Linked DNA regions of Arabidopsis thaliana. The protein of the gene in region 2 interacts with the protein of the main gene of each other region in a pairwise test. Each region holds a gene or a part of one and is shown on either strand. Other genes may lie near its edges. The genes, in order: AT2G33510 and HDG1.

Evidence for each region.
Region 1: the proteins of HDG1 (region 2) and AT2G33510 interact in a two-hybrid assay, tested with the Arabidopsis thaliana proteins (one study listed by BioGRID).

The regions. Positions count from the first base shown.
Region 1 is NC_003071.7:14,192,222-14,196,256, reverse strand, and holds AT2G33510 (ATP-dependent RNA helicase), read right to left. Parts: upstream 2,108-4,035; 5' UTR 2,063-2,107; coding exon 1,853-2,062; intron 1,789-1,852; coding exon 1,744-1,788; intron 1,144-1,743; coding exon 784-1,143; 3' UTR 610-783; downstream 1-609. UniProt on the Arabidopsis thaliana protein: Negatively regulates the cuticle development by interacting with the HD-ZIP IV transcription factor HDG1.
Region 2 is NC_003074.8:22,628,562-22,635,958, forward strand, and holds HDG1 (homeodomain GLABROUS 1), read left to right. Parts: upstream 1-1,769; 5' UTR 1,770-2,207; coding exon 2,208-2,378; intron 2,379-2,456; coding exon 2,457-2,665; intron 2,666-2,748; coding exon 2,749-2,866; intron 2,867-2,936; coding exon 2,937-3,623; intron 3,624-3,717; coding exon 3,718-3,816; intron 3,817-3,907; coding exon 3,908-4,108; intron 4,109-4,510; coding exon 4,511-4,688; intron 4,689-4,912; coding exon 4,913-5,280; intron 5,281-5,918; coding exon 5,919-6,314; 3' UTR 6,315-6,594; downstream 6,595-7,397. Other genes in the region: FUS6 (COP9 signalosome complex subunit 1), read left to right, coding at 1-66, 158-334. UniProt on the Arabidopsis thaliana protein: Probable transcription factor. Promotes cuticle development probably by modulating the expression of the downstream genes BDG and FDH, possibly repressed in a CFL1-dependent manner.

The DNA.
Region 1 (4,035 bases), on a different chromosome or scaffold from region 2:
TAATTTCATACAATTAGATTATAGATTTTTATATTGTTAACAATTCATACATGACACGCATTAAATTGTTAGTGCCCATACTAAATACTAGTGATGGAAGACCAAAATCTCTGTAAATAGTTCACTTCCTTAACAGTCATTTTATAAGTATGCAACATAAAGTTCTCTATTAAGGCTACGCATGGGAAGGCATTTGTTGTTTTCCACTTGGAATATTTGATCATCTCTTGGAATAAAAAAAAGTTAACTATCATCTCTGCTCCTTTATTAAGCTTGGAATATTTGATCATCTCTTTTCATTTTTATCTCCATTTTTTTACCCGAGATAAAAAAATAAAAGAAAAAAGGTGTCCAAGAAAATCTACTTACAATTTTTAAAAAAGGATTCGGATGCAACAAAAAGGAAAACCATGAAATGTGGAGTCACATGTAGCAATCATTATGATTAGTACTCGTCTTTATTATTTAAGAGGCGCGCGATTCCTCAGGGCTCATTTCATTGACCAACTTTAATGCAACAACTCTTCCTCACATAGTCACATCCCATTCACATTACATTCTTTTTCAACTTGTAAAGCAAACACAACTCATTTAATGGATACCATTCTCGGAAATTTTCAGACTCATTTTAACATTTTACTGTCTGATACATTGCCTTTGAAACTCGTGTTAATGCCACTCACATGAGAAACCACTAAATTATAACAACAATATAAGATTAAAGTGGAAACCTAAACAAATTCTCATCTGAATAAAGGGAAAATCCAAACAAAGACAAGGGTTTCAAGAAGATGCAGAATGAGGTCGATCAAAGTGAAGAAGCTGTGCTGCACATTTAGGACAGTCCTCAACAAGCTTAGGAACCATGAAGTACATGAAACAAGCTTTGCAACCAGCAACCACTAGCACATCTTCTTCTTCTTCTTCCTCCTCTTCTTCTTCTTCTTCTTCTTCTTTATGATTCTCTCTTGATGATGGAGATGACTCTGATGAAGACTCTTCGCTGTCGTAATATGAGCTATCTTCTTCTGAACACACGGTTCCATATGAGTCTCCACTGTCAGGATCTGCATTCATCACTTTCCTTGGATCCTCTTTCACTCTCATTCCGTTTTTCCAGTTTATGTAGTAAATCTCTCCTGTCTAAAACAAAACAAAAAGCTCACCTCATGAATTCAATCATAAAGTGCTCTTATTACTATAAAGTTTTATCTTTTTTCTTTCTTGGCAAATTGCAATGCACCTCCCAAATTTTGGTTAAGACAAAAAGCTTTGGTCCTAGATCTATATATGAGCAAATGACTATGTACTTTTTGTATGTATGTTTTGTGGTAGTGCGGCATTGATTTCTTTAGACAAATCATTGAACATGAAAAACAAAAACATTTGTTTGTTTGTTTTACTTCCTTATGAGAATAATCATATCTAGGAGATGAAAGATTGGCTGATAAAAAGCATCAAATAGCTTTACAAAAATTATTTTGTTTTTATCCAAAAGCAAAAATCCCAGAATTTAGTTTCATGGTCAAGCTTTCAAACTTTTTTTAGCCATTTAAAATCTCTGCAAAAGTTTTCCATATAAGGCAAACATCTTTCCCTAAACACAAAGCCTGAAACCAAAAAGCCCTATGAGTAAACATTTATACGGTCTGAAGCAATAAATGCATCACAAAGATACAAGAAAAAACATTATATTAACATGAAAAATTTATCCCCCAATGTACATTTAATGCAATCCAAAACACGAAAACGACACGAGTTCGAAGTTTCTGTAGTGATTAGTTTAACCTAGAAAGCAGAAAAAAAAGAAGAAAAAAAATAGAAAGATGAATCTCATTTGTTTAAAGTTTACCTTAAGATCAAGACACTGTTCCCAGTGACAAGGAAGAGATAAGTGAGAATTGAGCTCCAATGTTCTATCTGAGATCGGAGTCATGTGTTCGTTGCTCGACGATCTCCCAAACCCATCTCCGACGACCCTTCTTCTCCGATCATTCAGAGAACAATTCATCATCGATTTCTCTAGAGACTCCGTTATCGTCTCCATGTTGGGTGCTTTCATCTTCTCTTTTTTTCTTGCCTCAAAGACGCAGAGAAGAAGAAAGAGATGAAACAAAAGAAAAGAGTTTATTATTATTTGTGATGAGAAAACTAATCTTAAGAGAACGAAGAAAACAAAAAAACAGAGTGAAGGGTAGTTTCGGAAATTTAGCATTGGTTGGTTTTGAAAGTTCACGCGCAAGTAAAAGAAGCGCGTGGGGATATTTGGGTAAAAGAGAAAGTGGACCCGTAGCTGTCAGAGAGACCAAAGTGACCACAGAGGCTCTCTCGCACTTTTGTCTCACGTCCGTGTTACCGTGTTCTTGAAAACGTATGACCATTAGGTTCACACGCGAGGGTTTAGGCGCGTGGTGTTATCGGTTAGTGGCCGGTTTAAAATAAGAGGAGAATAAAAGTTGAAAAATCTTGGGAAGGGTTAAAGTTGGTAAACCTGAGATTTTTGTTTTTAGAAAGAAGGAAAAACTCTGTTAAATTAAATATTACTATCAACGTAGATATCGAAAAGAATGCCGGAACTTCCTTTATTCTGTTATTTCGTTTTTCTTTAGCATTGCAAAATCTTACTTGATTATTAAATGAAACAACTTAGTATTTTTTATGTTATATTAATCCCATTCCCTAGATGGTAAACCGGTGTTTAATCTGAATTTTAGTTTGAGTTTTTGGATTTTTTGTTATCAATAATGGTTTTCAAAGTAAAATCTTTGATGTGATATAAAATATAAAAAGTTTGGTACAATTTCGGTTTCGAATTGGATTCAAGTTCTTATCAAAAATATTCTCAAACAAATTTACATTAGCTGTTTTTTGTGGTTGTTCAGTTCGAATTCGGTTCAGTATTTCCTTTCGGCAATTAGCACTTGAATATTTGATTCATGAGAAACTTGAACCGTCCAACCTAAATATTGTTCATGATCAACTTTATAATATCCTAAAGCCATTAAGCCTTTACTAAAATTTAAATCCAACTATGTTCTACTGTTTAATATCTACTCGAAACATCCAAAAATCTATAAATCTCCTCCTTCATCCAATGATAACTAGGACTTACCACGGCTTTCAACTCATTCAATCTAGAAGATCATTCTCGTCTACAAACATTAATTGAGATCCACAAATCACTCAATCAAAACCAGATCACATAGCCTCATACTTATATTTTTATAAATCGATCACACATTATCACTTTCATCTCATGCACGTATAGTCACGATTACATTCAATATACGATTTTTCACATAGTCTAATGCATAACACATCAATCTTCTTGCTAAGACGGTCACCTTTTACATATTCATCTAATCCATTCATATTTGAATAGAGTGAATACAACAAACTATAACCTTAATCCAATAAATATTTATAAGAATATGTTATATGTGAGTTCAAATCTAAAACTCGATGGCTAGCTTGAGGTTTGGTGCATACATCGAAAGTCAATAGCAAACAGGATGATATTTTCAGGATGGAATGACTATACGACAGCAAGTACTAACCTCGAAAATGAAATGAATCTGGCCGTGAGATGACAATTTAAAATAGCTAAAGCCTAATAATGCAATATGATGGGTGGAGCAAAATAATTGAAGAACTAAAGATTTTTATTTTAGAGAAAGTCAACCAAATTATAAAGAAAGTAAATGCAAAATGTCAACATTTGTTTTAACACATTAGAGTAAAGTATTTTTTATGTGGGCAAAGGCTCTCGATCTTTAGCTGCAATTATTAAATTTGTGAAAACTATCATATATTGATGCCTCACTTCACTCATCTTTTGAATAATAAAGCCAAGAACATCACGTCAAAAATAAAAACTACAAAAGTCAAGACCATGATCACCATGTTCCTACTTTCATCCTAAAAAGTTTACGAAACAACAATACACAAAGGAATGAAAAAGATGAGAAAAGAAAGCCAATAAATATAGTTTTCTCACCCAAACAATTGAAGACCATGTGATATATAACTATATAA
Region 2 (7,397 bases):
TTCAAGACTAGCGTCTCTGGTCTAGAGAAAGAACTTGAAGCCTTGATCACAGACAACCAGATTCAGGTCCGTAGTGTTTCCCGAAATAACTTTGTTTTATGTTACTGTCATTTTAAAAACCTTAATAGAGGCAAAATCTTTTTTCCATCCCGGACAGGCAAGGATTGATTCACACAACAAAATCCTCTATGCAAGACACGCGGATCAGAGGAATGCAACTTTCCAAAAGGTACTTCAGATGGGAAACGAATTCGATAGAGATGTCAGGGCGATGCTGTTAAGAGCCAACCTCCTGAAACATGAGTATCATGCCAGATCGGCAAGGAAACTTTGATGACATCTGCTTTGCTAAACTGAGAGGTAATGGCCTATTCCAAGATCATAAGATATCTGTTAAAATTTAATTTGGTTTAGTTACTGGTTAGCTTTCTATCTGACCTTCTCTGTTCTCTAGTTATCGCTTTGTTTTGTCAACTTTTAGTTTAAGATTCTTTGAATTATCTATGGACTTTGAATGAAATCCCGAGTGTGAATCTATAGACGCATGAATCACACTGAAAGTGAAATGGTCAAAGAGTACAGACATAAGTACACACACTTGGTTTCATGGGCCGATATGATTTATGATCTTTGTATGCATGTGGGTGGTGGGATCAAAAATCTCATCTCCCAACTAATATCCATTTCATTTTGTCAACTAAACGTCGTATATTATATGATAGTTTGTGGCTTTGTGCACAGTTGTCACTCTATAGTTGAAGACTTTTTTTTTTCTTATCTACAAGAAATAATAATCAAAACGGTTAGGTCTTTTTTTTATAAGTAGAATCTCGAAAATTGCAAAACCAAGATTTGATGTCGGCAAACGCATCATGTAGACTAAGTGTGAACTTTTGATTTTCTTGTGTCAAAGAACTTTTGATATTAATCACTCGATAGCTACGTTTCATCATTATTAGTTTCTTCTATAGAATTTTTATCACTGAATGGGATAGTTCACATTATCTGGTACTATTATTTTTACTATTGCAAGTAGTTCTTTTCTATGCATTTCTTTGAAGTTGTTCTCTTTGTAGTTTGAGGTATCTTATATATATATATTTCTATATGTTTGTGTTTGCCAGGAATATTCAAGGGTGTTTTTTCAAGATTCGAACCAAACGAGAAATTGGGCAAGATTACTTTTTTGTAAGAACCAAGTGTTTCAATGAGTCGATGACATTTAGAGTAAGTAAAGGTTTTATTCTAAGATGGACAGTCCATTATTAATCAACTATTGAATGATATTGCCTTTTAAATGAGTCTTAGGTAGCATCGCAATAACTCCATGTTTACTCAAAACTCACAAACCATGAAGTTAAGAATCCGCCAAATTTGGAAGATGGGCCAACTCTAAATTTACTCACCCCAATACTCCATTTATTTTGGGTTGCATTGATGAAAGTAATTTGTATAATTGATAGGTTGTGTATCAAAAACCGGATCTCATTATTTGTGATCTTTGCATTAGTTATTTTTGGAGACTAATAACCATCTTTCTAAACTGTGAGTAATACAAATATAAACAACTTCTTGTTCGCTATGGAAAATAAAACATAACTCTTTAGGTACGATTCACGATGCAAAAACAATAGTCATCGTGAATAAACATGTCCGAAATACATGAATTAACAAATGAAACGCTCAACAAATGAATTGACAAATGAAACGCTCAACAAACGAAGAATCTCACATCCCATGATGAAATTGGGATTTACAAATAAAAAGTAGCACAAGAAGAAGGGGGTAGAACAGTAATTTTAAAAGAAAGACAGCGTTGATTCACCACTTGAAGTGGACTTTTATAGCAAAAAGAGTTGAGTAACGTCAAAAGAGTCAAACCCAACTTTTCAAAGGTTGTGTAAGGCTTTCCATGACTCCACATCTTCTTCTTTTCCCTTTTTATCCTTTTCTCTTCTCTCTCTTTTATTTTTTCTTTTGAAGTAAATTAATTTCACGAAACAAATCAGAGAACCTTTTATATCTTCCTTTTTCGTCGTTACTATCGTCCTTTACCTTTTTCATTTACTGTTCTCTCTCTCTCTCTATCTCTATCTCTATCTTCTATTCATGGACATGCACCGAAGCGACAAAGCTTAGGGCTTTTCTCTCATCCATGGCGGATTTCTTCTATCTTCATTAAATATTTCCCTCTTTATTAAAATCTCATGAATTTCAACGGTTTTCTCGACGACGGTGCTGGAGCCTCAAAGCTACTCTCTGATGCTCCGTACAACAACCACTTCTCTTTCTCCGCCGTAGACACCATGCTCGGAAGCGCCGCCATTGCTCCTTCTCAGTCTCTTCCTTTCTCTTCTTCAGGCCTCTCTCTCGGACTCGTAAGCTCACTATCTCCTCTTTTAATCTTCGATTTCTTCTTCTTCTACTACTTATGATAATCTCTGTAAATTTGGCAGCAAACAAATGGAGAAATGAGTAGAAACGGAGAGATTATGGAGTCAAACGTAAGTCGTAAGAGTAGTAGAGGAGAAGATGTAGAAAGCAGATCTGAAAGTGATAACGCTGAAGCTGTCTCCGGTGACGATTTAGATACCTCCGATAGACCTTTAAAGAAGAAGAAACGTTACCATCGTCACACTCCTAAACAAATTCAAGACCTCGAATCGTAAACTCACTATACACAAAATCTCCATTTACACTTCTACGAATCGTTTTGATTTTTGATTTTGATGAATCCTCCATTTTTAGGGTTTTTAAAGAGTGTGCACATCCAGACGAGAAGCAACGTCTTGATCTTAGCCGTCGACTTAACTTAGATCCTCGTCAAGTCAAGTTCTGGTTCCAGAATCGTCGTACTCAGATGAAGGTTTTTAGCTTCGAATCGCTAATCTTTGTTTTCTGGTTTCTTTGTTTTGATTTTTGATTTGTTTTTACAGACTCAAATCGAACGACATGAGAATGCTTTGTTGAGGCAAGAGAACGATAAGCTTCGAGCTGAGAATATGTCTGTACGCGAAGCTATGAGAAACCCTATGTGTGGTAATTGCGGCGGACCTGCCGTTATCGGTGAGATCTCAATGGAAGAGCAACATCTGAGAATTGAAAACTCTCGTCTCAAAGATGAGTTAGACCGAGTCTGTGCCTTAACCGGTAAGTTTCTTGGCCGGTCTAATGGTTCACATCATATACCGGACTCAGCACTTGTTCTCGGCGTTGGTGTTGGTTCTGGTGGATGTAATGTTGGTGGTGGTTTCACTCTCTCTTCTCCGCTGTTGCCTCAAGCTTCTCCTAGATTTGAGATTTCTAATGGAACCGGTTCTGGTTTGGTGGCTACGGTTAACCGTCAACAACCGGTTAGTGTTAGTGATTTTGATCAGAGATCGAGGTATTTGGATTTAGCTCTTGCGGCTATGGATGAGCTTGTGAAGATGGCTCAGACACGTGAGCCGCTCTGGGTTCGAAGCTCGGATTCTGGTTTTGAAGTGCTGAACCAGGAAGAGTACGACACAAGTTTCTCTCGGTGTGTTGGACCAAAACAAGATGGGTTTGTCTCAGAAGCTTCTAAAGAAGCTGGAACTGTTATCATCAATAGCTTAGCGCTCGTTGAAACCTTAATGGACTCGGTGAGTAGTTACTAAAACACTTAATTTTAGTAATGAGCTTAATCCAGCAAAAGTTCTAGAAAGTACTAATCTTTTGATACAATGTTTTTTATAGGAACGGTGGGCGGAAATGTTTCCTAGTATGGTCTCAAGAACTTCAACCACAGAGATTATCTCTAGTGGCATGGGAGGGCGAAATGGTGCACTTCACCTGGTATGTAATTATGCGTTTAACATTTAATTAACACATATAAAATCTTAATTCAACAAATGGGTCTTTTAATGTTTTGTTTTTGGTTAATTAGATGCACGCAGAGCTTCAACTGCTGTCTCCACTCGTGCCGGTTAGACAAGTGTCGTTCTTGCGGTTCTGTAAACAGCACGCGGAAGGTGTTTGGGCAGTCGTGGATGTCTCAATTGATTCCATTAGAGAAGGTTCTTCTTCGAGCTGTAGAAGATTACCATCCGGTTGCCTCGTACAAGACATGGCCAATGGCTACTCAAAGGTAAAATTATTCTTTCTGGGTGATGATTATTTGTAATAGTAGTATACTGTATAGTTTTAACTTTTCACCTTTAGGAGTTACCCTAGTGTTGGTTGGTTCACATTTCTCTAGGAACCACAGGCAAGCTCTTTGTTTTTGTCCGAGAAATTATGATAAAGGTTTCTTATGCATTGGGTTTATAACTTTAAATTAACTTATGCATTGGAGTAGGATTATTTTATTGATCAGAAGCATCTAAATATCTCCGAGTTCTGTGCCCTTGGATCGTGCATTAATTTTTATCATTACACGTTCATAGAAGTTTTTCTCTTTGATTATCATTAATTATGTGTTAAAGCTGACATTAGACCTAAAAAAACGATTGTGATAAACCTAACGCAAAATAGTTTAAGAAATTTGCAGGTAACATGGATCGAGCACACGGAGTATGACGAAAACCACATCCACCGTTTATACCGCCCATTACTCAGGTGCGGTCTAGCGTTTGGTGCGCATCGATGGATGGCTGCATTACAACGTCAATGCGAATGCCTCACGATTCTCATGTCCTCCACTGTTTCCACTTCCACTAATCCATCCCGTAAGCTCCCTCAAACGCTGCGTTTCTGATTTATTTTGTAGAAATATATATTTGTTTGTTGTTGTTGACGTGATTCATATCTTATCCTACCAGAATAAATAAGATTTAATAAATAGTATGAACTGTTGACTGAGTCACAAAGAAAAAGATGATAGCTGTTGATTCTGTAATTATCAAACTATATAGTTTAATTAATCTTTTTTTGGTTATATTAATGGGCACAGCTATAAACTGCAATGGGAGAAAAAGCATGCTAAAGCTAGCGAAGAGGATGACTGATAATTTCTGTGGAGGGGTTTGTGCTTCGTCGTTACAGAAATGGAGCAAACTCAACGTTGGCAACGTCGACGAAGACGTTAGGATAATGACTAGGAAGAGTGTAAACAATCCTGGCGAGCCGCCTGGGATAATTCTAAATGCGGCGACGTCAGTTTGGATGCCGGTATCTCCGAGGCGGTTGTTTGACTTCCTTGGAAACGAACGGCTTAGATCGGAATGGGATATCTTATCCAACGGTGGACCAATGAAAGAGATGGCCCATATAGCTAAAGGCCATGACCGTTCCAACTCCGTCTCCCTCCTCCGTGCCAGCGTAAGCATTCATATTTATTACACTTTCTATTTGCATGCGTAAGTAGCTAAGCTAATCTCCAAATTTTAGTTTAGGTTTTGGTGAATTTAGTATTTTATAAACATTAGATGGTTTTGGAAAACTTGAAATTTTAGTCGGTTTAGTTTTTTGTTTACGGTTTTCAACTTTTTCTGATTTTTTTGGGTTGGTTTTAGATAAATTAAAGTTAAACCGACTTGTGTGGACATTGAATATTTGATCTATAAACAGTGTATGAAAGGACTTTGTTGTGTTGTGTGACCCCAGGATGGTGTTGTCATATGAATCTTGTCGCGTGTGATTGGAAAGTGACAAATCTAGAATTTGGAAGTATTGTGTGATAAAAGTCAATAGTAATAAGACATTTTTGACCTTTTTCTTTCCTTTTTGGCTCCGACGTTTTGAAAAATCCTCTGTTTTTTTCTCTCTTTATTTCTGCATTATTGGTGTCTTTTCTCCGTTGTACCCCTTGAGCTTTTTCTGGCTTGTGACGGTGACACTGTAAAAGTCTCCTCGTTCATCATCTTTTAATTTATTGTTTCCCCTTTTGGGATTTATAATTTTCTCTTCTACCACCAAAGTTTCCATTTATTTAATTTTGTTTTGATTTTTTCATGCAGGCGATAAATGCGAATCAGAGTAGTATGCTGATATTACAAGAGACAAGCATAGACGCTGCAGGAGCGGTTGTCGTGTACGCGCCTGTTGATATCCCAGCAATGCAAGCTGTGATGAACGGTGGAGATTCTGCTTACGTGGCACTCCTTCCTTCAGGATTCGCCATTCTCCCTAACGGTCAGGCTGGTACGCAACGCTGCGCCGCAGAGGAACGTAACAGTATTGGTAACGGTGGGTGCATGGAGGAAGGAGGGTCGTTACTAACGGTGGCGTTTCAGATACTGGTGAATAGTTTGCCTACGGCTAAGCTAACGGTGGAATCTGTGGAGACGGTTAATAATTTGATATCGTGCACCGTTCAGAAGATTAAAGCTGCTCTTCATTGTGATAGCACCTGATCATCGAGATCAGACGATGGAGGAGATTGAGTCAAGAACGAACCTCATTTTGTGATGAATCCGTTTTTGTGATGGTTCGGGTATTGACTCGATGAAATTTAAAAAAAAAAAAAAAACAAAGAATGTTGTAATTTGGATCGGTTTTATTTTGGATCATGTCGATGAAATGTAATTGTTTCTTGTTTCTCTTCTTGTAATGACTCGATAATATCGGGACAGCATTATATGAAACACACAAGTTTTTTTTAGGGGAGCTCAAATAATTAGTTATAAGCAAAAACGTATTATCATTTTTTTGGTTATAAATCAAGGCAACCAGAAGCACAATCCGTGTTTACTTTTGTGGTAGTTTATAATGTGAAAGGATTGGTTTGGACCGTGTCCTTTATTTAATGTTGTTCCAAGTTTACAGTACTTTTCTCAATAAGATGGAAAAGGAACGAACGAAGAAGAGTGAAACACGTGAGTGCATGAATTTAGTTGCAATCCCTTATAGTTATTATATCCATGCAATGTAGACAACTACAACGAAAGGCTAATTGATTAGGTTGGTTTAGAGATTGTTTGATAATGCTAGCCTAGATCCAAAGGTCACATCAGAAGAGACCACAGGCTACTAATGGGCTTTTATCTAAAGCCTGTCATTAACTACTCTATTATGGCTACCAAGTAAGTCTTCTCAAAGTGTATTGGGCCAATCATTAACTAATTTATTGGGCTAGATTTTAAGTCCATTGGAGTATATACTATTATTACAAACGACAATAATATTATTATTACAAACGGGCCGAAAGAAAAGAGTCAAAAGGAAGAGTCAAACTTCCGAATAATCCGCGCGCTTAACGTTCGATCGCCACCGTTGAATGAACAAACGGTCACGATCGTATCTAATACAGATTATTTAATTCCATTTTTTTCTTGTGGGGTGATGATCTCTGAACAGAAATTAAGGGTATGAGAATGATTGATTGGTCTTGGAATTGTGTAATAGACCAATGGCGAGAAATGCCATCTGTTCTTTTTTAGTTTAAGCTATATCCGCTCCGCCGCAGAGATATATATAGATATTTCTATAAATATGTT